7 linked regions of the Oryzias latipes genome follow. The protein of the gene in region 3 purifies or fractionates together with the protein of the main gene of each other region. This does not show direct contact. Links are inferred from orthologs where the notes say so. Each region holds a gene or a part of one and is shown on either strand. Other genes may lie near its edges. The genes, in order: med31, med18, cdk19, med7, med8, med9 and med21.

What was found.
Region 1: the proteins of cdk19 (region 3) and med31 purify together in Homo sapiens (affinity purification with mass spectrometry; 6 studies listed by BioGRID and IntAct, counting the BioPlex papers as one, with this or other methods). This does not show direct contact. The link is inferred for Oryzias latipes from reciprocal best matches to the Homo sapiens genes CDK19 and MED31.
Region 2: the proteins of cdk19 (region 3) and med18 purify together in Homo sapiens (affinity purification with mass spectrometry; 5 studies listed by BioGRID and IntAct, counting the BioPlex papers as one, with this or other methods). This does not show direct contact. The link is inferred for Oryzias latipes from reciprocal best matches to the Homo sapiens genes CDK19 and MED18.
Region 4: the proteins of cdk19 (region 3) and med7 purify together in Homo sapiens (affinity purification with mass spectrometry; 5 studies listed by BioGRID and IntAct, counting the BioPlex papers as one, with this or other methods). This does not show direct contact. The link is inferred for Oryzias latipes from reciprocal best matches to the Homo sapiens genes CDK19 and MED7.
Region 5: the proteins of cdk19 (region 3) and med8 purify together in Homo sapiens (affinity purification with mass spectrometry; 6 studies listed by BioGRID and IntAct, counting the BioPlex papers as one, with this or other methods). This does not show direct contact. The link is inferred for Oryzias latipes from reciprocal best matches to the Homo sapiens genes CDK19 and MED8.
Region 6: the proteins of cdk19 (region 3) and med9 purify together in Homo sapiens (affinity purification with mass spectrometry; 7 studies listed by BioGRID and IntAct, counting the BioPlex papers as one, with this or other methods). This does not show direct contact. The link is inferred for Oryzias latipes from reciprocal best matches to the Homo sapiens genes CDK19 and MED9.
Region 7: the proteins of cdk19 (region 3) and med21 purify together in Homo sapiens (affinity purification with mass spectrometry; 6 studies listed by BioGRID and IntAct, counting the BioPlex papers as one, with this or other methods). This does not show direct contact. The link is inferred for Oryzias latipes from reciprocal best matches to the Homo sapiens genes CDK19 and MED21.

Annotation. Positions count from the first base shown.
Region 1 is NC_019872.2:23,706,678-23,709,374, reverse strand, and holds the end of med31 (mediator of RNA polymerase II transcription subunit 31), read right to left. Parts: intron 1,550-2,697; coding exon 1,453-1,549; intron 1,354-1,452; coding exon 1,140-1,353; 3' UTR 900-1,139; downstream 1-899. UniProt on the Homo sapiens protein: Component of the Mediator complex, a coactivator involved in the regulated transcription of nearly all RNA polymerase II-dependent genes.
Region 2 is NC_019874.2:22,764,134-22,768,670, forward strand, and holds med18 (mediator of RNA polymerase II transcription subunit 18), read right to left. Parts: upstream 2,862-4,537; 5' UTR 2,505-2,861; intron 2,028-2,504; 5' UTR 2,021-2,027; coding exon 1,948-2,020; intron 1,229-1,947; coding exon 672-1,228; 3' UTR 563-671; downstream 1-562. UniProt on the Homo sapiens protein: Component of the Mediator complex, a coactivator involved in the regulated transcription of nearly all RNA polymerase II-dependent genes.
Region 3 is NC_019882.2:10,351,590-10,356,053, reverse strand, and holds the start of cdk19 (cyclin-dependent kinase 19), read right to left. Parts: upstream 3,060-4,464; 5' UTR 2,787-3,059; coding exon 2,784-2,786; exon of another isoform or gene 2,710-2,783; coding exon 2,564-2,709; intron 1-2,563. Other genes in the region: amd1 (S-adenosylmethionine decarboxylase proenzyme), read left to right, coding at 4,063-4,184.
Region 4 is NC_019868.2:21,185,773-21,190,381, forward strand, and holds the start of med7 (mediator of RNA polymerase II transcription subunit 7), read right to left. Parts: upstream 2,934-4,609; 5' UTR 2,818-2,933; intron 651-2,817; 5' UTR 642-650; coding exon 1-641. Other genes in the region: itk (tyrosine-protein kinase ITK/TSK), read left to right, coding at 4,321-4,458, 4,540-4,609. UniProt on the Homo sapiens protein: Component of the Mediator complex, a coactivator involved in the regulated transcription of nearly all RNA polymerase II-dependent genes.
Region 5 is NC_019862.2:24,740,582-24,745,174, reverse strand, and holds med8 (mediator of RNA polymerase II transcription subunit 8), read right to left. Parts: upstream 2,907-4,593; 5' UTR 2,814-2,906; coding exon 2,808-2,813; intron 2,676-2,807; coding exon 2,554-2,675; intron 1,526-2,553; coding exon 1,381-1,525; intron 1,298-1,380; coding exon 1,157-1,297; intron 1,079-1,156; coding exon 991-1,078; intron 920-990; coding exon 680-919; intron 604-679; coding exon 533-603; 3' UTR 359-532; downstream 1-358. UniProt on the Homo sapiens protein: Component of the Mediator complex, a coactivator involved in the regulated transcription of nearly all RNA polymerase II-dependent genes.
Region 6 is NC_019866.2:10,874,751-10,877,854, reverse strand, and holds med9 (mediator of RNA polymerase II transcription subunit 9), read right to left. Parts: upstream 1,502-3,104; 5' UTR 1,450-1,501; coding exon 1,370-1,449; intron 1,175-1,369; coding exon 955-1,174; 3' UTR 750-954; downstream 1-749.
Region 7 is NC_019881.2:3,908,874-3,913,311, reverse strand, and holds the start of med21 (mediator of RNA polymerase II transcription subunit 21), read left to right. Parts: upstream 1-1,561; 5' UTR 1,562-1,584; coding exon 1,585-1,626; intron 1,627-2,684; coding exon 2,685-2,799; intron 2,800-4,438. Other genes in the region: fgfr1op2 (FGFR1 oncogene partner 2), read right to left, coding at 130-264. UniProt on the Homo sapiens protein: Component of the Mediator complex, a coactivator involved in the regulated transcription of nearly all RNA polymerase II-dependent genes.

The sequences.
Region 1 (2,697 bases), on a different chromosome or scaffold from region 3:
ACAAATAGTGTTATAAATACGTTTTATGTATTCATAATGAATGAACCTTCTGTTTAGGTTAGACTAAAGTAAGATTAGCTAGAAGCTAAACAATGATTTATGTCAAGTAGGAATGATTGACTGATTTTAATTGATCCGGCTCACTGACCTAAAATGGATCCAGGACATCTTTATTCAAAACTTTAACCAGTGTCACTCAGAAAGAAATACCTGCTATTGAACAGTGCAGGTGAAGTGTTTCTGATTCCTTCAAGATAATTAAGTGTAAATTAAATGTGTACAAACAAACAAGTAAACAAGAAGGAAAGTCAAATCCATTCACATTTTGGTTTAAACATTTTAGTAAAGTTCAATCCACTGTTGTTTTTCCACATCCAAAGGGAACATTCTTAGAACATTCTAGCACTCTGTGTGGTCACATGACTTTCTAAATTCAAAGTGGATGATGGTTGATCAGTTTTTGCTGACATCACGTGTTTTTGGCTGTGATGCACTTGGTCTTGAATAATTAATTAAGTTAAGACTAGCAAGAAAAAGGTATCAGAGCAAGCGTGTTTATTCTGACCAATAGAATGACTGAGTAAGCGTGGTTTATTTCTCCATAGAAATCTATGGGATTTGGGCTTCTTAGAACTAACGGGTACTTCCTGTTTGTAAAACCAGTGGGGAAGGGTCACTCAGTCCAGTTCTCATATATTTAACAGTTATAGTAAAATAAACCTCAATCCAAATGGTATTTTCACATTTTGATATAATTTTTTTCGTTAGTTTTTAAATTATTTTATATTGAAACTATCTTTTTGGATCTAGGAATATAAATTGATTCACTGACTAACGTTGATTATTTATTACATCTCCAATATTAAGTGTGAAAAAATATTTATGTGCACAACAGGAAGTAGAACAGACAAAAAAAACGTTTATTTTTGCAAAAAACAATCTTGTGGATGAATATTTCACATTAATGTTCGTGATAATGTTCCAGGTTGGATCCTGACTGCAGTCTGATCCAGGAACAGTCTGTCCAGCTCTCAGGAAGCTCTGCTGCGGCTTCCATCCATCACAGCCTCATCTGAGAGAACGTTATGATGAAGAAAAAGATTTTCTTGGGCGTCACCTGAAGCTCCTCCTCTCCATTCTCACTTAGCTGCGGCGTTGCCGTGCGGCTGTGGCGGCTGCTGCGCCTGCTGCTGCTCAGCCAGCGCCTGCTGCAGCCGCGTGCGCTTGCGGGAGTAATGCTGCCAGTGCAGCAGCTGCTGCTCATCAATGAACTTGGCGCACTGAGCGTTGACCTGCTCCTTCCTGAAGTGCTCGTACTGCAGCAGCTCCAGCATGTGCAGGCAGTGGGGGTACCTGCAGGGGGCGCCAAAGACACGGTCAGAAACCTGCAGGCCAAAGGACCCGCAGACTGTCCAGTGTTCAGAGTGGAGAAGGAAAAAAACGGCGCCTTACTTCAGGAACTTGGAGTACTCTGGCTCCTTCCAGTACAGCAGGTACTTCAGGTAGTTGATGAAGGGTCGCTCCTTCAGGAAGCCCCTCTGAGCCAGAACTGCAGACAAACGGGTCAGAGATTGAGCCTGAGACGCAGGTGAGGCTGCTCAGGCTTCACAATAAACATGCTTTACAACATTCGTGCAGAGAACTATTTCCTATGAAGATCTATGGAGAAAGCCTGCAGTGATAGAATGGCGCCCCCTGGTGTAACAGATCTTGAGGTGATGCCAGAGCGGGACAGGAACCTGGCGTCCTGTTGGATGACAAGGCTCCTGGAAGTGTGAGTGGACTAGTTGGAGCGATGATTCCAGAGACGATCGCCGTTATCCATCTGCTCGCTTTCCTTCAGAAGAATCTAACCCCCCCTCAATTACTGATCCTGACCGTGGAGCGGCCCTTCCACGCCCTCGTGGTCACTAGAGATGACAGGCCCTCTCTCTCTTCTGTTTTTTTTTTTTGATTGACCAAATCAAATTAACTTCTCTGCAAAAGTACAAACCTGCCTATGAAAACAAACTGCATTCATGTGAAGTATATCTACAGCAGTGTCGGGTAAATTACTTCTGAAAAGTCATTGATTACATTACTTAGTTACTGGATCAAAATTGTAATTAAGTTAATATACTCATTACCGATTTAAAAAATTCACTACGTTACTTTACTTTGTTTCCCTCATTTATAAATCAAGGGAAAAACAGCACTGAAAAGATCCTCCTGCCTGTCGTTCAACTTTATTTTTAAAAACATGACCATTCAAAGTATGAAGCTGGTTCAAGACAAATCCTGGTTTCCTTTGAACTCAGACAACAGTGTGAAAAATGAGACAGAAATAAGTTACAGCACATGTGGTCTGTGACACTGCTCAAGGTCAGATGAACCTGTTATTCCAATCTATCAAATCTGAAAACACAAAGAACTATTTAATGCCTCCATGTTCATTTCTGCTGACTTTAAGTTCCATTACAATGAGTTGCACCTTTCTCTATCTACGTCTGTGTTTTGTGCAAAGTCCTTCACAGCTGTGAATCCCCTGAGCTACCCCCCCCCCCTTTACGGAGTGCATCGAGCGCCATCTCATATTGACCAGAGACACAGTCATGTGTAGCTTACAGTTAACAATAAAGTAAGAAAGGCTGAATTAATACTTTAAAAAAAAAAACAACTCCCAGGAAGGATCCGGGTCGTGTCTTTCACACCAAAGAG
Region 2 (4,537 bases), on a different chromosome or scaffold from region 3:
ACCCCCTTTTTCCAATTTCAACATGAGCAATGAAGGACCTAAGGCAACCATAGTGCTTTCACTTGTAATAGTCCCAGCTCAAGTTCCCATGAAAAAAAGAAAGGATACTAATGGGTTAACAGTAGAAATGAAAGGGGAAGAGAGGGAAAATCAATGCTTTTGTGGAAAGGAAGAAAGAAAGGCTTTCACAGGTCTATGTATCATTAAGCAATTGAGAAAGCTAATTAGAGTGGGGTAAACGATGTGCAGATCGCACAGCTAATTATTTCCATGGCAACCAGAGCTCCTGTAGATGATGAGAGGTAGCGTTCACTTTGCTCCAATTAAGACCATCCTTGTGGAAAGAGAGACCCCTGGTGGACATTTATTATATAAAAAAATGAAATTGAAGATTTAAAAAAAAATTTTTAAAGCAATAACATAAGCCATCTGAGGCATTGCAAAATGTTTGTCAACTTAAAATATATTTAAGTATTTTCCAGCTATTTGTTACTATAATATTTTCTTTATAGTAGGCACAAAAAGTAAAAAATAAATTAAAAAAATACTCTGACAGGTCAGATTAACCACAACTGTAACAGTTTAAGCAAAGTAAATCTGTATTTCATCACATTAAAAAGCATTTAAATGGAAAGGAAAACAATAACAAAAACATTTTTTTCCATTAATGCTTAATGTCTCTGCTTGCTTGGGTCAATCTTCTCCAGATGAATCAGAGGTTTGAGCTGCTCGGCAAAGCTGCGCATGTCTTCTGACACGGTGTCCTGTCCGGCCGGAGCCAAAATGCTCAGTTCCACTAAATACGACAGCGACATTCGCTCTGTATTTTCCGTGTTCCCTGGTACTAGGATGCGTGAAACCTTGCTAACCACAACTTTCATTGCTCCTTTGCGAAATATGTGACCACTGGCCACAAACTCATGGTCCATGCGAAAGCCCATCTCATTGAGGAACTCCGGAAGGCTTTGAGAGGCAGCTACATCGACACAGTTGCGAACCAGAGCATGGCGGCTCTTGTCTCCCACTTCTGGCTGGCCTAGATACCGCAGGTGCCATGGAGAAGTAGGGTGGGAGAGGGAGCGTCTGGCACGCAGAATGAAGGGGTTGCCTTGCTGGCCTTTCAAAAGGTAAACCAGCTCGTGGTCGGTGAAAGTCTCTGGTTCCATGTTGTCACAGAGACCACGCAGGCGATGCAGGAGGCTTTCCAGAGCCTGATCCAAAACACTGCCTGAAAAAAACGAGAAAATAGAATATCCTTTAAAGACTCATATAGTAAGTTCTTTACTCCCACTATAATTATTTCCTGCTGTGATACAACTTTTTAAAAATGAATATTAAACATATAATCCTCCATCATGAAATTAAAAAATGTTCAATGTTAAAATTAGTGTTCGTTTTAGATCTCTTTTTTTTACAAACACAGTTTCAATAAACACTTCAGATGTGATGAAAACATGAATAACAGGTTTCATGAATAAAAAAATTTAAAAAAAGCTTTCCTGACTTGAGGATTATTTTTCCATAAATCTTTATGCATCTATATAATCTTAAATACTTCAGTTTACTAAATACAAATGTGTCCAGTAAAGTGCAGCACAAACAGGACAGGAAAACCTTAGAAATATATATTATTTTCAAGACAGAAAGTAACTGAGCACTCTTTCCACACTCTTGACAGTGTGGTTTGCTCTTTAATGCTACACCAACACTCATGATGGAAAAATAATTAGCTCAACTTAATAGTTTTTTTTTAAAGACTAATATTAATGGATAGAAGTTGGTTTTAGCAACAGAATGAAGATGTAAACATTATTTTTCAAATAATTTAGCCAGTGAACTTCATACTGGCTTCTAATATATGTATTCTGGAAAAATACACCGTTTTATCTGTAAATATATCAAGCCTCTATATCTCTGGTTGAACCTTCTATATCTGAATCGTCTCACCTTGTAACAGATATTCCATCATGTTGATGGCACCGCCGGTGACGGGCATAACTGTGACAGGAGGAGCTTCCATCTTCTTCCTGATTTAAAGTAATAGTGAATGATGGCATTGTCATTCACTTAGCAAAAAGTACTACACTTGAAGTTTATTTCATTGAGGACACGTGAGAATAAGTACAAGTGTACGATAGACCATGTGTATATTGTGAAAGAAGTATTAACTGACTGAAAACTTCTTCAGACTAAATTGGAACATTTTATGTTTTGAATTTAGCAATACTAGATTGTGTTTAAAAGTTTACTTCAAGTATATCGTCCCACTAGCCAATTATACATGTAGTAAACTAAATAGGCTACTTTTTGCAAAGTGTTGTTGGACTACTCTATTTCATTTGCAGTTGTTTGATGATACATGTGAGTGACATTACCAATGAATGAATGAGTAAACAGAAAACAGTTGTTAGCTAAATTAGCGAACAAATACAACTACCAATAGCAGGCTTATGCTAACTAGCAAAAGCAGTAGACGTTTCTCACTACAGAGTAAGATGGTTTACCTGAGCAGAATAAAGAGTTCGGCGCAGCGTTAGAACTGACTAAAGTTAAGATATTTTTGCTGTTTGTGGTTGGTTTCCACGGTGGGCCCCCTGTTTCACCGGTTAGCTAATATCCACACGGCTGCTAGTACCAGTTAACAGTTAGCCTACATGGAATTACCAACTCACGATTTGAGCTGTTACTGTCATCAACAAAGTAATTTAAGGCATTCGTACTTAACTTAAAAAATAAAAAAAGTGTTAATGAAATATATATTGTAACCCGTTCTAAAAACAACCAAAATTTGATGCTAATCAGAAAACAAAGGCGCCCAAGTTCTTCCTTGGCTTTTGTTTTTAAAAGGCGCTTTCAATCCAGTTTAAAGCTCGTTACTGCCACCTACTGAAACCCCGGAATATAACCATTCATGGAAGCAACTTTCTGTGTTAGCTTTTTCCGCGCAAACAGGTATTTAGGCAAATGATAAAACAATAAGTACACGTTGAATACACTTATTGAACTTAAATTTTAGCAATGTAGAAAAAGGATCAATTACAGTAACCCAAACAGGGGTTACTTTAAAAATACAATCCATAAATAACATTTTTTTAAAAATCAACTTCAAGTCATTTGATTTACAAAAACACTCACAAACCAAAACGTGCTCTAAAAATTGAAACTATTATCAGTGCAGATAAGTAACTAAATGTATTTGAAAACCTTGCACATATTTAAAAATAATAAAAATATATATGTAGATTTCATACCGAAAATGTTGTAATAGTAATTGCTGGCACATAAAAAAATAAAAGCCTAGCTCTGTGGGCCTTTTTTTTAAAACTCAGATGCTGTCTTCACAACAATTACAATATTTTTACAATTAGTTTTTGTTAAATATTTTCTTTTTAAAACATTGAATAAAACATTTAAAATTCAGACATGCTGCTATAGTTTTTGGCTGATTGAGGTTCACAAACTTTTTTAAGATTTGTGCTTAACCTTTTAAAGTAAATGACAAACATTCCATCAGATGCATATTTTACACATAAAATAATAAAGATATAAAAACTGTGTTTTGACGGATTCCGAAGCCTTTAAAGAAAAAATATTTAACAAAATTTGTGTCAGAAAAAATAATGGTTCAGAATAATTTAAAGGAACTTGTTTTCTGTTTTCAAAGCACTTGCTGACAGTATCAGGTACAGACACAAAGCAATGCTATATTTCATAAAGATAATTAGCAAGCAGTTATTCATTTTCTGACACAATGGAAAAAACCCTTCTAAGGGTTTCCATTTTGGACCTTGTAGGGTGAAGTTTACTTCAACTCACAAAACAGAATCCATGTTAAGGCAACTTCAGAACTGCTAAAATATCGCAACAATTACCTGCTCAACCTATCCAAACTGCTTTTTGTGAATTTTATTTCACTGTAAATGGTTTCATTGTGGGCTAATTCACGGCCATTGGTCTTTGCAGGGGTTCTAAAGGCAATTAAGGAATAAACAATGGAGGGTTCTTCTTCCACCTGCAAATAAAGAAATAATGATTAGTGGAAAATGATTAGTAAATGATTAGTCACTTTATGATTTGTGGAAAATGTAAAGGATTATTACTCACACTTGTCCGTCTTCTGAAAACACAGCAAGTGCAAAGCAAAGGAAATGCTAGAGGGTGAACATAGAAAAGGTGTGATGGAGCTGTTAAAACCTCAGGCTCATTAAAACTCTGAAAGTAAAAACCTCAGAATTTGCACCCCAAAGAAAGCAAAAGAAAGAGTTTCTGCTTGGAGAAAAATAACGAACAAAGTAAACGCACGAGTTTCTGATCTTATTTCCAATTACGAAGTGTGTTTTGGATTTAGGCCCCCTCTGCAACTGAGTTTGACCCCCCTGTAATATGAGTCTAGAAAAGTCATGCATTTTTGTGTGTAAAATTAGCGAATAAAAATGGGGCACACAAAAGGATGTCGTCAAATTGTGTTTGTGTGTGTGTGTGGGGAGGGGCTAGGAAATTTTTAGCAAACAGGTCCTGTGGCGCCCTTCAGACCACT
Region 3 (4,464 bases):
CTTTCACGTACGTTGAAATATCAAGACTTGAGGTATGGTAAATAAAGCAATGAGTGAGATTCATCAATTGCATTAAGGAGGGAAAAACAAACTCATATTTAAATGTCTTAACTGAAATGGTTGGAGTGCTTTATTAACTCTGTACAAGTTGTTTTTCATTGACCGTACCGGCAGATGAGCCAGAGTCACAATGGAGTGTTGTGAAACTCATCGTGTAGGTATGTGGCTGAATCAGCAGCGCTGATCTGACCATCCCAGATGACGAAAAAAACTCAAACCCAGTCAAGACGTCCAGTTCCATACCACTTTCATCCTACATGTAAACATTTAAGGCTGCTTTCACACTTCACACAGTGTCTCCCCAAAGAAAGTCTGGGAAGGAAAGCGAAGCGTGAACAATAAAACAAGTTTGACCTCCTGATCCATTTAAAAGAACCTCCAGCTCATCAACACAATGGACGATCCACTGAAACAAACCCCATTCCAAGAATCGTCCAATGTTCCCTTCGTCCCTATGAAAACATGAATATACAGAGATTCTGAATCAACTCAAGCAGTAGGTCCCACAAGGAGTATTTCAGAACCTAACCGTAGGGTTCTGTCTTTTGTTTTCCATGGTTGAAAAAGGAAGAAAGAGACAACATTTGGATTTCAAAACAGGAGATTTTTTTAACTGGAGCTTTTATTGTTTTTATCGTTGACCGGTTTCTGAACTTTACAGGGTAAGATCAATATCTACTTGATTTATAAAATATGTGTGTGTTACAAACATTCACAGCTGTTTTATGAAACAGAACAATAATTCTTGTGACCCTTCTGTCGTCATGGGAACCAGAGATGACTCTTTAGCCACAACATCTGATAAGGTCAGTCTGCTTTCAAGGTTGTGAGCTTTTCTTGACGGTATGACATTCTGAGGCCCAAACGGTCCTTTTGTGTCCACCTCACGCATCCATCCATCATCCAAATCTGCTGAATACCTGTTGGGGTAATGGGGTTACTAGGGCCCATCCCAGCTGCTATTGGGCGAATTGGCCCATTGACTGCACATGACAACTGGACTGGGTAATCCCTCTCCCATCACATTCTAAATAGGAAGTACCTGCTGGTTCCTAGCAGCCCAAATCCCACAGACTTCTATTGAATAATAAACAGATATTACTCAGTCGTTCTATAGGTCCGAATAAACATTCTAGCTCTGCTACCCTTTTTAACATGTTCTTGCTAATCCTAATTTATTTTCCCATATTTTTTCTGTAGTGCAAGCTATTCACATTAATGACCAATCTGATGCCTCAATAAAAGTATGTGGTCTAACACGGAACGTTTGAAGCGTTTCATTGACAGATTCTCCTAGGCACGCTTTCAGTTGATAAAGGTGTGGACTTTCAACAAGTTCACTCCTGATTAGCGAAAGTTGTTGCCATAGAAACATTTACTCAGATCAATCACTGCTTACCAACATAGCAACATGCATATTGCAAAAAAAAAAAAGGCAACTGAATTGACTTCATTTAGTGGAACCAGAAGCAAGCCATTTTGTATGGGTGATGTCGGTCCAGTTCTCATTTACAGACAAGATCTGGACAGATCACCAGTCTGTCACAGGACCACACAACGAGACAAACTCACATCTAGGGACAATTTTGAGTCACCAATTAACCCTTGATTGTATTTTTGGACTGTGGGAGGAAAGATGAGTTCCTGGAAGAAACCCACACACACACAAGAAAAACATGCAAATTTCATACAAAAAGGTCCCAGCCAGGATTCATACCAGGAACTGCACGCCAAGAGTGCTAACCATGCAGCCCTATCAAGCTGCAGAAAAAAAAGTTCAAAATACAAAACAGCATAAAGTTCTAACAAATCTGTACCGATTTCCTACAAAACTGCAAATTTTAAAAGCAACATCATGAAGATCACCTCTGACTGACCACAGACTGATGAACTCCACCTTCAAACAAAAACCCACAGCTTCTGTTTTAAACTCCGAGCCTTCATGCCTGCTGTTTCAAAGTCCCACAGAGGGTCTATGAAACAGCAGTCATGGGAGCATCTGAGTCTTCCTCCTGCTCCTTTGATCTAACAACAAAGGTGTTGCTGGAGGTACACACGTGACAAACTATTACTAAAGTTTGACGTCTCTACTAGAGCCAAAGCTGCTGCCTAAAAAAGCCGCGAGGCGCAACGCGGTCACGTCGACCTGCGTCCGCGTGAACTCCCCCCCCCCCCCCCTCGATAAAAAAAACAACAACAACAGCCGCGTTGTTTTAACATTTCGTCTGGGACTTAGTTTAGAGGGGGGGGGGGTATTCGCGCGCATTTGTATGTTATGTGTATGTGTGAATGAGTGTAATCGTGGGGAGGGGGCGTTGGTGGGTGAGTGAGTGAGTGCGCGCGTGCGTTCCATGAAAACAAAAACACAGAGGTTTTTGCCTTGGTGGGTTTCGAACCTACCGAGCCGCGCGGCCCGTTAGTGAGATCTGAGACCGCGAGCAGCAGCGAGCGGTCGATATGAGACTTCGGAACAAAACAAGAACGTTCACGGTTATCTTCTTACCCGTCTTTGCGCTTAGCTTTATAAACGTGCCCGTAGGTGCCTCGACCCACTTTGCAACCTTCATATTCGAAAAGATCTTCCACTCTCTCCCTCTCCGCTGCCAGCTTTGTTTTGAAGTCGTAATCCATTTCAACCCATAAATACGTCTTAATTTACAAAAAAATAAAATATTAATTATTACATGCATTCATTAAATAATCTGGTCGTTTTATTCCCCCACCATTTCCTTGTTTGGGATTTTGGTCTGCTCCGCTTAATGTTCACTGGCTCGTTGACGTTTCTAATTGGCGCGTGTTGCCAGATGGGTAGTGTAGTTCCAATGGGACGTTGACACCATTGAGGAAACAGTAAAGAGAAGGAAAATAAACTACTACCCGCGTTTCTTGATGCGGTTTGTTGCACTTTGCGTACTAAAGAACTTTCTTCAAAAATGTTCCTCTGCTGTTTGACTTTATGGAAATTTTTGTCTGAAACATCAGCCATTAATTGAAAATATTATTTCCTTAAAACTTGTTTTACCACTAATAGTAGTTGCAGTATTCATTTTAATAAGAGAAAAAAGATTTTAAAAAGTATTAATTATGATGTAATAATTATTTGATTATAAATACTGTTGTTGTTAAAATCTAACTTTCTCCGTAAGTAAAAAAAAAATTATCAAAATTATTGTTGTTAAAATCTAACTTTCTCAGTGAGTAAAAAAAACCTGTTTAAAGAAACTACTATAATGAAAACAACTGTATGTATATCTCTTAACAAAGCAAATGCATACTAATTTTTATATTGCATTTATACGTTATAGCCTATGTGATCATAATTTTACTGGATAAAGGATTCAAATGAGGGGGGAACCTCAAATATTTTGACCTGTTACTATTGTTTTCTATAAAAGATAGAGTAGATACTGTCTTTTCATTATTTTTTTTTTTATATTCGTGGAGAAAATTAATCTTTGAGCTCCAAAATTGTAAGTAAATGTATTTATGTATTTGCTTGTATATTTAAAAAAAAACAATCAATCATCCACCCAAGTAAATTAGTACAAAATAAGTATTGATAGAAAAAAGACAGCTTTTTAATTATACTTTAGACTTTTACAAGTTTTCTTTAGACCTAAACAAGTTTAAAGAATAAACGAACGTGTCTATTACGTCACAGTGTTTGAGTCATGAGTGACAGATCCCTGGACCAATCATAAAGGAGTAAATAAAACCTCACCAGGAGAGTGGCTCAGCGCACCGCTGACGTAACGGCGTCGTTGTATAAAATCACCGCGCGCCGCTTCCTCAGTGCTCTACACAGTATGGCCGGCGATATTAGCTAGCGCTCGCTTACGTTGTTCTCTGCTACAGGGAAGACGGTAACTCAAGACAAGCAAACAACCAGATTGTTAAAATACTGTACCTCAATAAGTTAAAGCGAACCAAGGAACGACCATTTTAAGCTGTAAACCATACTACCAAGGTTTGACAGACTATTGAGGTGTCTGTTGTCTCATCATGATGATGGAGGATCAGGATAACGGTGCACATTTCTTCGAGGGGACCGAGAAGCTGCTGGAGGTCTGGTTCTGCCGCCAGGATGACACTAAGGGCACCGGGGACCTCCGCTCTATCCCAAGGTTTGTCTTCTCCGTCAGTCAGTGGTTTGGTCGTTAGCCTCCGGACCACATGCGCGGCCTCGTTGCTATGCTACGTCGTCGTTCCTTAACGTAACTAGTTGTTGTTTCCGTAAATAACCGTAAATGTCTAAAGCTTTAACTAGTGAAATTGTGGAGTTAGGGTCTTTGAGCCTGATGTTGGTTAGTTTGCAACCCTGGAAACAGTGGAAAATGGCCACCTCCCCCTAAGTGTGGTCCGTCAACGCTGAGTCATTCATCGGCTGCTTCGGGAAGACAGCAG
Region 4 (4,609 bases), on a different chromosome or scaffold from region 3:
TCAACATCCATAGGTTCCATTTTCAGCCGAGGGGGCTGCCCAGACGAACAGGGGGCAGCAGCTGCTCCGGACGCACCCTTTGGCCCTTCAGAAACGTCTGGAATCTCCATCTGCAGCAGGTCGTCAGGCGCAGAAGCAAGACACCCTTGGATCATCTCCACGACTCTCTCCAGGTGTTTTTGGAATCTCTCCGCCGTCTCCAACCTCTGCCTCTTCTGCACCTCCATCATCACCCTCAGAGTCTCCCTGGCTTGGTGCGGCCTGTACTCGTTGATCAGATGATGCATGTGAACAAACAAAAGCTTTATGTCCTCCATCTTCTCTTCGCGTTTAATATTACCAGGACTTTTGATAAGGATGTCTAAAAGGTCCAGAAAGTTTACGAGAATGGACATGTTCAGCTTCTTGAGCTCCCGTTTGTGGTCAAACTGCATAGGATGCAGCCTCTCGATGCCTTGGCTCTCCAGAGGCCGAATAATAAGGTCGTCGCACTGAAACTGATTGCCAAACATCATGTAGCTGTCTCTGATGGGCGGAGGCGGCTTTGGCACCAGACCTTTGCGAATGTTTTCATCTGTATACTCCTTGATGTACTGCATGGGCGGTGGAGGCAGTGCGCTGACCTGCTGTGGTTCACCCATTTTGCAGACCTAAAAATTATAAAATAAATAGAACTACAAGTTAGAAAGAATCCAAACAACAAATACACAGTCATGCACCTGATAAGATCCCACTGTTGTGGCGAGTTCACGGGTCTCACTTATATGAAGTAAAACAATCTTTAATGACCCCCTCATATGTTCTGGGTGATGGCATCAGCTACCTCTTGCATAAACGCTTTCTCCAGTCAGTAAAGTCACAGTCATGATAGCACTTTGTCAAAACTATGCCTTTTTAATGTGCCAAAATAATAACTTTCAAGAAAAAATATCCTTATTTATTCATTTTCTAAACCCGTTTTTGTCCCTTTCAGGGTCACGGGGCTGCCGGAGCCTATCTCAGCAAAGGCAGGGGACATCATGGACAGTTCGCCAGTCTGTAGCAGAGCCACGTTCACACACCCATGCACACTCACACCTAGGGAGAATTTAGTAACCAATTAACTTATGAAGCTTGTTTTTGGACGGTGGGAGGGAGCTGGAGTCCCTGGAGAAAAACCAGGGGATCACGCAAACGCCACAGAGAAAGGTCCCCCAGTGGTGATTCTGTTTCAGGTCCCCCAGCTGGGACTTGAACTGGGGGCCTTCTTGCTGTGAGGCAAGAGCGACAACCAAGAAGAACATGCATCTGTGGAGCTTAAACATATACATGTTTTTAGGTTAGAGTAGATAAGTATTAAATGCAGATTAACCAACAGACACAGGAACAGATGTACAATGTTGACACTTAGCCTAATATTACTAGTTTTGTATATGCATCCACAAACGTTATAATTATTTTAACACGGTTTACTATAGTTTCTGTTACAGATACTTATTCAATAATACATTGTTTTACAATATATTTTTCAAAAGATTAAAGAAAATGTAGAGGAATTTTTAAGTGAAACATTTTTTTAAAATTGTGAGAAAAGACTTATACAGGTTTCCATAATCAGTTTTACAATACCAAAAATAATTAATCAATAAAGCCATTTCTAAATGCTGTGGAAAATGGCATAAAGATGTGACAGCTTCCATTGCATTATAGTTACCTGTGGGACAATTAAACAGATTTTTGATTGATTCCTAAACTTCTTTACATCCTCATGTTTTTTTAATTGAAACAAATTGTCTGTGCTACTTACCGGTAACTAAAAATCCAAATTATTATAATTCCTTTATCTATAAGAAAACAGTTTTTATTCAATTGAAACATGTTTAAATTTATATTATCTATCACTATCCCCCCTATCAGATTGTACTTGTTAAAGAATATGATTTTTTTCTGTGTGATTTAACACCATTTTTTCAAAATGCTTATTTGTTGTGCACATAACCTTATAATTGTTCTGCTATCAATTTAGCAAATACAACTGAATTAGTAGATTTTATATTCAAAATTAAAAAATAAATAAAAAAAAAACTGCAGAGTTTAAAAAAATGTTTAAAGAAAAGCCATCCTGATGTAAGAAGAGAACAAATGAGGGTCAAAAACAAGTCAAATTGTGGATTTTAGTAAAGAGAAGTGCATACATGCACATTCTATACATTAAAAAAAACACAGCTTTTACAAAATGCATATTTGTTGATGTCTGTTTTCAACACTTTGTATCATTGTTATTGAAGGAAAGAAAACAACATTCAAATCAGAGAAGGATATGTCATATGGTCGGTGCATGTTTTAACTTGAAGATTGCCACGATCAGAGTTTACCGTAGCCAAACGAGTCGTTAACCGCTCCAACCAATAAAAGTATTTTTTCCCACGCGTTTTTTTTAGGATTTTACACGTGCTCACAAGAAGTACAACAACAGATAATGTTCACACATCACATAGCTAAACCTGTTTTCTAAGTAAGAAGGCGGACAAGTCGACAACAGACACACACATGATCATCACGATTCATTTTGAGAACTATGTCAAAGTCAAACCTAACGTAACAAATCTCGAATTATTCCGCCGTAGTGCATTTAGATACCACATAAAAGCCCACGTATATACTAACTAACAGTAAAAGTTATTACAAAAACCTAATTAATAAAACCGCTCCGTTGATGTTTGGCTAACAACAAACGTCGTTTCCTGCATCTGCTGAATAATACAGTCTCTACAGTCAAAGAAACAGGTCTGTAACACGAATAAAAGGGTTACATTTATAACTGATTATTGTACAAACCTGTTTAACGACTCAATTGGTTGAGTTTAGATGAAAATTCTTCTAGCCAGTTAGCTCCTGACTAGCTTCGCTTTATTCATTTCCCGGTTGAGTTTCAGATGCCAGGATTGGACAGTGACCCGGAAACAAACTCGACGTTGATTGGTTGCGTCGACAAGCCTTTAAAGTATTTCATTATTAACCTTATAATTAGTGGGTTTTATTCAAAACTAATCTCTTTCCTGTATTAATTGTTTTAAACTTTTTGTTAGTTTTTGTTTGTTTAATATAGTGAGTTCAGGTTCTGATCCTGGTAGGCCTATAAATCTTAAAATATGTTCTTAAAATAAGCTGCTTAAGAAATCAAACCCAAGCAAAAAAAGTTCAGATCTGTAACCATAAAAAAGGGGGGGGAGGGGGACTCTAATTTTAAAAATGTATCTATCATTTGTTTTTACGCCCTAAATACAGTAGGGCAGGTGAAAGTGTCTAACTTTGAATTTTATGTTTCATTTTCTACTTAGTCAATTAGCAACACCTAATATTCATTCTTTTTCTTTTTTTTACACTTAAATAAAAATGGTCAAACTATTATAAGTAAGCTGACTTCATCTTGACCCTGACACTAAATAAGAATGACATGTAACATTTTATTTTATAAACGTTGTCATAGGCCTAGTGAATATTTAGCAGAGGGCAAAGGTTGTGCTTCGGAGTGTGCAAAACAAAACAAGAACATCGTATTTGAACCAAAATTGAAAAGAAAAATAAGAATCTTTCTAACCCCAAAGAAAACATAGCCTCATGAAAAGTACATCAAAGGTTCCATATTGTATTTGGATACATTTTTCTTAGAAACCAGACTTTTCTCTTTTGCTGTTTTCTGCATTTAGTGATTCATGAAACCTTGACATTCTTAGTGTTTGTAGGATATAACTTATCATGCATTTTACATTTTTAAAAATTGCATTTTTTTCATTTTTAAGTTTTCCTTCAGTAGTACTTTTTTACTACAATTTTGATACAAGCGGAGAGTTTCTTTTAAATGAAGAAAAAAGAAAATTTAAAAATTCCGAAAAAAAACCCCAGCTATGGCTTCTTAGGTATTGATTAACAGTGTTATTTTTGTTTTTAGCTTTTGATTTAATATGAAAATTTAAATTGTTTTCTAAAACATTTTTGTTTAACAACCAAGCAATTCTGACAAAAAGCTTACATTTTTATGCAAAATTTGATCAATAGTACATCAAAGGTTCATGTTAAAAAAAAAACCTTTATTGAGTTTAACACAACATACGTGATGATACGTGTGTGTATTTGTGTGCACATCAGTGTGTGATTGCTTGCACAGAGTGTTGCCACAAGGATGTGGTTTACTGCATGCAACTAACCCACGCCGGAAACTCTTCGGCATCTTCAATGTTTGCATTCTCCCTTTTTTTTCCCCCCTGCAGTCAGAGGCTTTCAGTTACTCCGTCCAATACCACCCAGTGTCTCCAGTGGTGTTATTCTCAACTGCTAACCATGTTTCCTCGGGTGATTTTGAAGGGAACCATGATCAAAAAATCTCAGCAAAAGAAGAGAACGTCACCGTGTAATTACAAAGAGAGATTTTTTGTTTTGGACACACAGGAGCTGAAGTATTCTGAGCGCCGTTCGGGGGTGAGTGCTTGTGTGCTTCATGGAATTGTCAAATTGAGCTTGACTGAACTGACAACTTTTGGAAATGGCACGATCTTGCAGAAGAAGCCCATGCTAAAAGGTTGCATTCAACTGTCCAGTATTAAGTGTGTGGAAATTGTGTGTAGTGACA
Region 5 (4,593 bases), on a different chromosome or scaffold from region 3:
AGACTTCTGACTTTGTGTCTCCCATATCGGTCTTTTGTTCAGGTTTGTTTGTGAGCACAAATGTGTCTTTGTTCAACTCTGAGTTAAGGAACGGAGGGTGGATGTAGGTCATACAGCCAGACAGGATCAGAGCAGACAGAGGGCCAACACTCAGACAGGAATAAAACCCCCACCACCACCATTGTCAACAGCAATAGTTCCTCGCGTTCTCCCTTAAAAGTTGTGACACAACGTCCACCCCCATCAGGCTCAGCGCTGCAACACAGACTCAGAAGAGCGGAGCTCAGGTTTTTTCACGTCGTTTCAGTGCAGAAACAAGAGAAAGACACTTGTATAATAAAGGCCACACAAACCAAGCTGCTTTTCTGGGTTTTATTGAAAACATGTCATTGTGCTGTTAAGATTTAGCCATAAAGGATCCCATGCTGCCACCTAGTGGCTGTATAGAGAGCTTCAAAGGGGGACGTGAAGGTGGACCCAGTAACAGACTGATGTTCCTGCATCTGAGCAGTAAAGAGGCGGGCGGGGGAGATCACCGGTTGTAAGGGTGAATGGAACCCGATGCAGACTTGATGTTTGTCTTGATGCTGCTTGGCATTTTTCCTGGACAAAAATAAAGAAATAAAAATGTGTCTCCAATACAAAAAACTTAATACATTTTACCAGTACAGTTTCCTACCTGGCTGACCTTGCTGCTGGGGGGCCCCAGGCCCTCCCATACCTGCTTGCTGGTTTGACCCGCCACCAATAGTGACCTGCTGTAACGTTGGACCTCCGCTCATCATGGGCCCCTGCCCTGGGTGGCCAGGGGCCACAGGGCCAGGAGGTCTACACTTGGAGAGTCCCTTCCCAAAAGCCACAGCTGCTACCAAGGCACTGGTGTCTGTGGGGTTGAAGGACGCTTTGTTCTGCCGCACTGCTGGAAGATAAACACACTCAGCTCTTTCTACAATAAGGACAACAAGGGATTTACACAAACGAGCGACCCACCAGAAGCATCTCCCTCTCTGTCCTCTCGAGGGTTGTTCAGCTTCTCCAGAAGGTTGGAACACAGCTTGTTCAGAGCCTGGATATGCTTCTGTGGATTAGCACAGACAAACACTAAACACCTTCTGAGCACAGACAACAGATAACAAACATCCATGCGCCTCCTGACCTGAGCCAACTCAGGACCAATCCTGACCGCCTCTGCACTCAGCTGCTTCTCCTGCTCTTCCACCTCGGGGTCAGGCTTGGTCCTCAAGTGATCTGGCACAATCTCGTGACTGAACACCGGGACGCGTTGCTCTGTGAGTTTCTGAGGGGGGTGTGGGGGTGGACAGGATAGTTAGAGGTCTTTCACCACACAGGACAGCCTGCAAATGTTGCGGCGACACTCACAGCTAAATCCTCATCCCGGTCAGGAGACAGGAGCAGCGGGATGATGACCTGACTCCGGAAAGCTGGGGTCTTCTCGTTCCTCAGCAGCTTGTTGATGGTGTTCAGCTGACCCGAGAGGAGAGCAAAGTTGTCCAAAACAGATGGCCTGAGGGACAGGAAAGATTTGAGAGGGGGGTGAGAAAACTTTTGCAGGTAAACATGGAGACACAAACACTTTCTAAAAGACGCATGCACACGTACAAATACACGCACGCAAATACAGACACCAATGCTACAACAAGCTGGCAGTTACCATAGATCTGTGTTGGCTTGCTTGTTTTTCTTTAGTTTCGTTTTTTTTTTTCTCTAATTATTATTCTGTTTTTTGACAGAATTGTTGTTTTTTACACAAGTGCAGTGGCGTGCCTGCTAGTCCTTTGGACTATTTATCCCCCACTTTCTGGGTCTGAAGCGGTCTGTGGGTACATCGTCTACACGGTCAGCTGTTGTTGCTTGGCAACAACAACATGCCGCTGGAGAAGCAATCCCAGATCGCAGGAGATACTGAGGAGACTGGGGTTCTCCTGAGTTTTCAGGACTCTTTTTAATGATGGCATTGTTGCGTCTGCCCTCTTCTATGGTTTGAGCTGCTGGAGGTGTGAATGCACAAACAGGAACAAGAAGAGGATCAACAAACTGGAGCGGAGATCCGGCTACGTTCTGGGATGTCTCCTAGAATCGGTAACTGTGGTGGGTGAGAGTAAAATGTTACAGAAACTGAACTCCATCATGGACACTCCTCTTCTTCATCATCATCATCATCCTTTGTATGGGTGTACTGAGCAGCTCCTTTACACCTTGTTGCAGGAAGGAGCACTTTCCCAGATCTTTCTTCCCGTCAGCTATTAGACTCTGCAATGCCTTATAGACATTGGACAAAAATGATTGCTGTTAATTGTTTAAGTGTATTTTTAGTGTTATTAATATATATCTGATGTTTTATTGGAGCTATGGCAACAACAAGGTAATTTCCCCTTTTGTGGGATCAACAAAGATTTATAGTCTAAGTGCGCTCGCGCACACATGCACACGCACGATATGCACTCACTTGTTAACTTCGCATGTTTCCAGGCTTTTATTTATCATAATCAAAGGAGGGGGGATACGTTACGTCATAAGGGCAGGAGGACCCACCATGTCAGACGTTCGTACTCATTCTCCAGCTTGTAGATGAAGCTGCTCAGGGCGTTTTTAACGTGAGCCACCCGGGAGATGAGAGACTCCACCGCCGTCTCCAGCTGCTTCTCCTCCCGCTGCTGAAACACAAAAAGGACGAGCAGAGAGGCCCGGACAGATTACACAGCGCCCGAGCTAGCATCAGTCCAAAGTATCGTCCACAGTAGGTCAGAAGAATCACAGACAACCGAGTGAAATTATTTCAGACTCACTTGCATTGTTGATCTGTCAGCGACCCGGAAGTCTTCTAGGTTGTACTTCCGCTTTGCGCTTTCCAAAAAAAAGAGATGCTTCTTCTTCTCTGGTCAAATCTGACGGTGTGTTTGTGCTCCCTTGTGGCTACAGCAGGTACCCATACCACCCATCCTCTTGTTTTTTTCTTTTCTTTTTTTATTTATTGTTCAATAAATATTTGTTTCTGAGGGTTTTGCACCCTTTAATATTGTTTTCTTTCGTCCAAATTCTCTGTTCCAGGCCAAAATAATGTACTAGAACTGTCCCGTCAGAGTCATTAATCCAGTCTATACTGACTTTTTTAAAATAGAGAATCAACGATGGTGTTGACTAAAAAAAAATGAGAAATTGCAGCAACCAAAGTGAAATTGAAGAGCTGAGAGCAGAATCAGAGGATGAGTCCTGCAGACAGTTGTGAAGGAAGCACAGAGAAGGTGCAGCTTACAGGGAGACAGAGATAAAAGCTCAGAGCAGAAACAATTTAGTCTTCCTGGTATTTATTAAAAACAAATGATATGTTTAGTGTTTTTGTTTCTGTGTGTGATCATGGGTCTTCTGTAACAAGCTGTATATTGTTCTGGTTATCTTTAGTGGAAGCTCCAAATGTCCCAGAATCTTGGCCAACCATTACAAAATCAGTTCTTTTCAAGTTTATGAGTCATCAACATTATCTATTTAGTTCGGCTTTATTATTAACATTCACCGGTCCAGGCATCAGACTAAAATACAAGCCTTATAAAAACAGAGACCTGATTGTTTGGTGCAACCTTGGAGAAGAGCTCTCTGACCTAAGACCTCAAAAGTGTCTCTTAGACTGAATCCTAACACCATTTGACCCAGCAGTGGTCTGGTGAACTGCCCAGGGTGTATCCCACCTTTGCCTTTCAGTAGCTGGGTGGGCTCTAGGACACCCAGCATACTTTTTTTTTATATACATGAATAAAGGTGGTTTAGAAGATGGATCAATGTTTCTAGCAGTGTAAACTCTATATGCAACTGCTATTTTTACTTCAGGATCAGAGTTCAGATAATGTTTGCATGAGCAAATGTCCAACGTGACAAAATAAATTAGCCTGAAGAATCATGCCAGCTGTTCATACACACTTAAGAGTTAATAAAAGACACTCCAGAAAAGTTCAAATAGGACATCCACATTCAACAGGTCTGCACAGTTTCGTTTATTGCTCTGAAATGAGTGTAAAACGGAAACTCTAGAAGTAGTTTTCCACATCGCCTGTTTCCACCACCACCGTCTTCAGCTGGGAGTAGTACTCGATGGTCACCTGGCCGTTCTCTCTGCCAAAGCCTGCACAGATCAAGAACTCGGTTTCACCATTTTTCCTCAAGAAGCCTCTTGTTTTTTTTTGTTTTTTTTACAAGACCCCACCTGACATCTTATACCCTCCAAATGGCACCTCCACTGGGCTGATGTTGTAATTGTTGATGAAGCAGGTCCCCGCCTCCAGACTTGCAGCCACACGATGAGCTCGAGAAATGTCTCTGCAGACGAAGAACAGAGTTCAGGTGAGACCTTACCAGAGACTGTGGAGTGTTAATCTTTGACAGCAATAGGGTCAGAAAATGCAATAAAGCAGTTTTATCTTAAAAGCAAACGTTATCGCAGTCTGCAGCTCTCTGCTGACCTGGTGAAAACCCCAGAGGCCAGTCCAAAGGTGGTGTTGTTGGCCCGCCGGATCACCTCCTCTTCGGTGTCGAACGGCAGGACAGACATGACCGGGCCGAAGATCTCCTCCTTCACGCAGG
Region 6 (3,104 bases), on a different chromosome or scaffold from region 3:
TTGCTTTCTATGCGCAGCACTAGAAGGTGAAAACCAAGTTTACATGTTGCCTTTTTTTCAAACTTGAATGTTTGCTGCAGAATGAACAAATGAACTCCATGTGTATATTTATTATGTCCTTGTCCACTTTTGCATAAAGAGAAAATAAAAAATAAAAAACTTGATACTTTCATAGTCTGTTCTCAGTCCCACTCTCCAATTTCTCGCATAAAACAAACACTTTAAGAATTATATATACGTTTTCATTCTGCTGTTCGAATGAAAATACATGTTTATAACACATCATTTATTGAGACATTCTGAAATTAAATGGACTTATATATAAAAAGAGCTAACAGCCTGAATAATTATTCATTAGGACTCCATTGTTTGCACAAATGATAACCATGGCACAATAACAGAGAAGGAAAACAATTAGACTAGGAGGCAGTGCAGCACATATAATTAGAGGCTATTTAGTAGATATCAACAGATGTAATATTTGGCCCATTAGAGACAATATCATTTATGATTAAAATCAAACTTTGTTTAGAGAAAAATGCTGATTCACATTAAATTAGATTTACTTTGCATGTTGTGAAAAGGAACTACATAAAGTTATGTGAAAGTGTGTGCCGTGGCAAATGCTTTCCTTTATTTAAAAACCTTTTAGATTCAGACTAAATGGTCTGCTCAATAAAGCATCAAAGCCCTTATACATTTATTATTAATAATAATAATAATAATAATAATAATGAAAACAAGTAAAACACTATAGCACGATTTAATTTATTAAAAATAGAGATTTACAACTTGAAATAATAACAGATACTTCAGAAACAGAGCAGATCATTCACACTGATGCAAACAAAAAAGAAAAACAAAAGTCCCATTTTTCATTTCAGGTTTTTTTTTAAATGGTAAACCGTAGAAATAAACGTCTTTGCTCAAGTCTCCAGTTTGTAGTCTGTTGTCTCACGACGCCTTAGGCACATCAAACATGCACAGTCCCTTGTACTTCTGCAGCAGCTGGTTCTTGGTGCGGACCTGCTCCCGCAGCGTGGCCAGCTGCTGCTGCTGCTCCGGCGGACTGCAGTCTATCCCAGACATGTTAGAGATCTGCTCCCGGGTTTCTTGGATCTTTGTTTTTAGTTTTGTCAGCTCCTGGTTGACATCCGGGCTGTCCTTATCCATGCTAAGCAGAAACATAAATAAATAAATAAATACATAAATAACAGACTTCTATTAAAGGCAAAACTGCACCCATGATGGGAAGCGTTCACGTCACTTCTCATATAGCAAACCGTAAATACCCCCAACGAGAGTTTACCGTGAACCATTTAGTAAATACCAACATATACGTAAACCCAGCACACAGGAAACAGCTTACCATTTGATAATGTCGTGAACTAAGGGCAGCAAAGAGCAGTCTTCGGTCTCCTTCACGAGCTTAGCCTGAGCTACCGCCATTGCTACTCCTTCTGCAACTGGCGCAGGCTGATGACGTCACAGGTTACTCCGAGAATCTCAACTGAAATCACAACTTTAAAAAAGTTCAATTGATGTTGAACAACAACAACAACAACAATGATTATAGATGAATGAGTGAATGATTGATTGAATGAATAAATGAATGAATGAATGAATGAATGAATACTCTAGTTATCAAAAGTATGAAAAAAATGATTACCTTGAGATGGTAAGTCATATAAGTCATGGTATGATTCCCAAACTATTAAAAAGTCTTGACACAAAACAAGAAATAACAAAGAAAAATTTGCTGTAATAAATTTCAAACACAAGAAAAAAGATCTAAAAGATTTGGGACTGATTTCTTTCTGATAAAGCCCTTGCAATTCTCGTGGCATGTCATCATTTTGCTCAGAATAGGTCCCAGACCTATTCCAAGGTTGCTCGGGCATCAAGTCCGGGTGCCTCCTGTACGCCTCTCTGGGGAGGTGTTGCGGGCATGTCCCACTATGCGGAGGCCCCGGGGAAGACCCAGGACACGCTGGAGAAACTACGTCTCTCGGCTGGCCTGGGAACACCTTGGGGTCCCTCCCAGAAGAGCTGGAGGAAGTAGCAGGGGCGAGGGAAGTCTGGGCATCTTTGCTTAGACTGCCCCCGTGACCCAGTCCCGGTAAAGCAGAGTAAGATGGATGGATGGATGGATGGAGGTCACAGACCATTTGTCAATGCACATAATAAACACATGACCTAGGACTTGGAATGACCTTGGCTACACGTCTTGCTACTTGGTAACCTGAAGTACTGACATCGAAAGTCAACACAAGACATGCTTGAGAACTGAAAAATGGGGAGCTGTGTAAACACTAGAGCTCATAGCAAGCACAAATATAGTCTCACGGTGCGTCACGCAATTTGTCTGTTTGGAAGATAAATGAAGTGTTTCATTCAGGTCGTGCATCTCTGTCTGGAAACCCTTTTTCCTTTTCTGTTTACACAGTGCGTCCTTGTTGATTGGGGATACAATATTTAGTATGTAGAAAATAAAACAAAATAATGAAAAGCTTACTTCCTGGTTATTTTCTAAAGCCCTGTTTGGCAATACATTAGGCAACACGGAGAATTAAAATGGCTAATTTGCTCAATTCTTTGTTAGTACAAGTGACTACACGATTATGCATGTGTAGCAATGACGATTCTCCTGTTTGATGTTGAATTATGTGTTTTATTTTTAAATGTATTCTTTTTAGCCCAAATAACTCATGTTTACATCCATTTCACATGAAATCAAGTTTGACCTCTTGATGCAGCGAACATCCCATGAGTTCATTACTCACACCTGGTGAACACAGAAAGGGAAAAACTCAGTCTCCCCTGGAGAAGATAGAATGCCAACGTGACACAGGCAGTGAGCATTAAATTAAGTGTGAGGCTTTTACCCAGAGGTGTGACAAAGAATGGATATCTAAATGAGTGGCGCCACTGACTGTAAAAGTAAGGATTTCCATTTCGACTTGATTGGGAGGTTTTGCACAAACTAAACAGAATATATTAGTAACCTCAAATTGACGTTTTCAGAGCATTTTACAATGTAAACTATCACAGTGTAAACTATCAAATCTTGGATCATTTTGACGGATCTGGTCATTGCATCACAC
Region 7 (4,438 bases), on a different chromosome or scaffold from region 3:
TTGCTGGAGCCTATCCCTGCAGCTGTTGGACGGAGGCACGGTTCATCCTGGGCAGGACGTCAGTCGGCTCATGAGGAAAATATTTAAAATAAAATAAAATAAAACATCAAAATCCAAGCAGAATCTTACCTGTTTCATGGCTTCTACCCTCTTGTTGAGAGATGTTGTCTGTTCGATTAACATCTCGGCTACGTTGTCATGGTTACGGAGCCTTTCTACCAAGGACTTAGCATCTGCCAGGACTTTCTCTAACGTACAGTTCATGTCTAAAGGGGAAAACATTAAAGTAAAATCGATGAGCAGGACATTTTTTAGAAAATATCAATCTGGTTTTAAAGAAATGTGAAAACTTAAGAAGAAAAAAAACATCGAGTTCAAGTCTGTAAGTAATATAACAAATTGGGCAATTTCCTTCATAAAACTGTTTTACTCTTTTGCTTTCTGTTTGTTCAGTTTTAGTGAGATAAAAACCTAATTACTGTGGTGAGTAATGAACATCTGGAAGTAAAGAGTAGTAGATCCCTGCATTTTTCATTTACTTACACATTAGCGTTAAGATACTCAGCGTCTTACAGATTTAAGATGGAAAGTTAAATGATAGAAAGTGATGTAAACAGTACAAAAAGCAGGGAAATTGGTTTTAAGCAGATTACTTTTTAGTTACAATACTTATCTTAAATCTTTGTTTAGAGTTTAAGGGAATACGTAGCTCCGTTTATGAAATGCACCCATCATGACTGGTTGAACATTCGCTGCTAAGCATCTAATTTTGCCAATGTCGTGTTTGGGTAATTCAGGTTTAAAAACACACTAAATATTTATTTTAGCAGAATTCGATGTATAACTTCTACATCAAGATTTCCTCCAGTAATAACGAGCAGGAGATGCTGCCCCATACCATCACACTGCCACCACCAAACAATGTAACTTTACCGGGTATGACCCTCCTGCTCACCCACTAAAGCAGGATGTTAACGAATGTGTCACAGTTTAAAAGGGGAAAAAAGAGGATGTCGAACTGCAGGAGATTTATGATCATGAAATATACTTTCTTATGACAAAAAAATTAAGCAAGCAGAAACAAACAGCTAATTATGTCTTTGCTTACGTAGTAGTAAAGTAGTTACAACTAACGAAGCTGCTCTCTAAATCCTGACAAATTTTCCAACAAAACATACAAACGTACCTCATAAACAGTGTACCAAAGCATGTAAAGGTGTCTTAATTTAACACTGAAGTGGTCTTACCTGAAGAGTTCAAAGTGCAACCAGAAAATAGATCTTCTTCCTGATATTTTATGTTGTAGCTCAGAATAGCAACATCATGCTTATGCTAACACGAATATCGGATTATACGTTAAACTTAAACTTTGTTTCTTTAAGACATAAAAAAATATACTAAAGTACAAAAAATGAATTTCGCAAAAGTCTCTATGGTATTCAAGTCTAAAATAACAGGTTTAAGGTTGTTGACGGGCTAACTTTCTTTAGCTATCTTGTCTTCCGAAATGACGTCAATTTCTGCGAGATTTTGTCAATGCTCTCGCGATAGTTGACGACGGACTTTTGTCAAATACAGGTAAATATGGCGGACCGGCTAACGCAACTACAAGATGCTGTCAACTCGGTAAAATAAAAATGTTAAATATTTGACAAAAATTGTGATATAGAAAGACTGTCACATATACATTTAAATATGAAATGTGCATTATATATAGGTTTTAATGGAAGTTGTTTCCTAATTTATTTACTGAGGGCGTAACATCACAGCAGCTAACAATGCTAATGCTAACTTAATAAATAGCATTACTTACTTGGTGTTTGCTGAAGCTGTTTGCCAAAATGCTGAAGTAGATTGGAATTAAAGTTGAAGACGCATGAAAGGAAGTGGAAATTATTTAAAAAGGTACCCAAACCAGGAAGTTACCCTATAAATTGTTCGTTTTGAGACTTATCCTAATCCTGCCGGTCAAAATATGCTGTCAAACAAAGTTAGAGTCCCATTTGTTCTTAGCATGCTAGCCATCCTTTAGTGTAGCTCTATCAGGAAACTCCTGAAAGCACTAAGCAGCTTGTTTGCTCATTTAGCTGGAATATTATAGGAATCATGATGTGTGGTGGTACAGGCCAACCGTTCTGTTATTGTTTAGGTCAGCCGGATGACATTTCTTACTAGCATATGGACTAAAGATATACATATGTATATAACATATGACAATATTGAACTTCAGGCACTCCAACCCCTACACTTAATCTTCATGACATTTCGAAATAAATGCCTGAAGGGCATAATACATATGATTACATGAAGAAGGAGCAAAAACCTAAAAATATTCTAACTTACAAGAAGTGTACTACTTCATAATTCTCTTTTCTCTATGAAAGATTTTAACCGTCTTAAATAAAACCAAAATCTTGCTGAAAATGCTTGAAATATTTGCATACAGCCAGATAAAGAATAATGGAAGACAATTATACCAAAAATGTTTTTAAAATGAAATGTTTAATATAATATCCATTCATTTCCAATGAGTAGAATTTCCTGCTGTGCTTTGTTATAATCCAAGCTTGATTGTTTTGACCTTTCTGTCTGTGTTTCAAACATAAAATGAATCTATTCGGGATGTGTGGTGCAGGTCGGCTTCAGCTCGGTCTGAACTGTGTGTTCTGCTTTTGCGTGGGCAGCTTGCAGATCAGTTTTGTAACGCCATCGGTGTTTTGCAACAATTTGCTCCCCCTGCGTCCTTCAGCAACATCCAGACCGCTATCAACAAGGACCAGCCGGCCAACCCCACTGAAGGTTAGTCTGACGCCGACTGTCTCTAAAGACCCACTGGGTCGCCGCCTGCTCTTCACCTTCAGTCCTCGGTTTACAGTTTCAATTCTGAATTTTCACTTTCGGAGTACAGCCTCATTTTACGTTGGGGTGGGCCTTCGATGCCGTTGGATATTGGGACATGATTGATATCAGGGGCTAGACGGGTCATTCTCTGAATTCGGTGCACATTGGTAATTGAAAATCTTACCTAAAAAATGTGTGTTTCTTAACATTACATCAGATTAAGGACTATTTAAACCTCTGAGAAAAGATGTTTTCCCACTTTAGACATGAAATCCCCCAAATTGTTAGAAAGTTTGTCACTGTGACAGTGTGTTTTGTTACGGAGTAGAATATTACGAGGTTGAAGTTGTCACGTGTCTACATTAGCTAGGATATGAAGCTACATATGGCATGAGGAAAACAAGAATTTAATACATATTTCAAAGCAATCGTTAGCTTTTTCCCAAACAATAGTAAATATCATTTATTAATTTAACAGAGTTGAAAGGTTGAGCTTGACAAAGTCAATCTGACAACAGAAACTATGAAATATGGGTAAGAAAGGAGGCTAATACTTACCTGTCTTCAGAGTATGAGCAGGAAAATATTCAGTGATGTCACTTCCTGGCTGCTGAAGAAGTTGGACTGAACTATTATTTTTTTTTAAAGGGGGATTGATAGGCTGTTACGGGTTGAACAAAACTGAGGGACAGGAATAAACGGTGAAATTTCATAAAGATTCATTTATTTTTGTCATACTTCTTTTATTTAAGTGAAACTAAATAGGCATATGTTTATGTTAGCAGAAAAAGCATGTAGTTAGTGGCTGTTTTTATCAGTTTTGCATTAGCTGAAAAGGTAACTTTGGCTTCGTTCATACTGCAGGCTGAAACGACCCAATTCTGATTTTCTTCCCCCATGCGACCTGTATCTGATCTTTTCATGACAGTCTGAACGACACAGATCCCATCTTTTCAAATGTGAACCAGGCCACTTGGGTATGTGGTCCTGAATCCAATACGTATCCGATCTTTTCAAATGCGACCTCCGTCTGAACGGCCAGGCCACATGAATCCGACCCGTACCTCATTGATACGTTCTCAAACGTCATAATTCTGCGTTGAAGTAGGCGGAACCAGAAGATAAACATCAACCATGGCGGACGATGCTGCTGAGACCAGTCAGTGGAAGGGAAGCGAGGTCACCGATTGGATTCATATTTGGGGTGACAGCTCCATTCAGGCCAAACTCCAGGGCTCTTATCGCAACCGGGCAGTTTTTGAAAATATTTCCAGCAAAATGGCCGAGCGTGGTGTTGAACCTTTCCCACCTGACTTTTTTTTCTTTCCGACTGTGGTCGGAAGCAGGGGGGGGGGATCTTCTCCAGGGCTGAAGGAAGATCCTCCTCCGGAATTAACTTCCCCGTTCGGACCCTCAGATTCTCCAGAGCGGGTTAATAAAGAGTCAATTATAGCATTTATTCTGGGGGAAGCCTTCTTTTATTATCGTTCTCCTTCCTCTGTAACACACAACATGAATGCACGCACCCGACACACTTCCGCTGCCCCCCCCCCCCCCATCCCCCCCCCCACACACACACACTCCCTCCGGCGCTCTA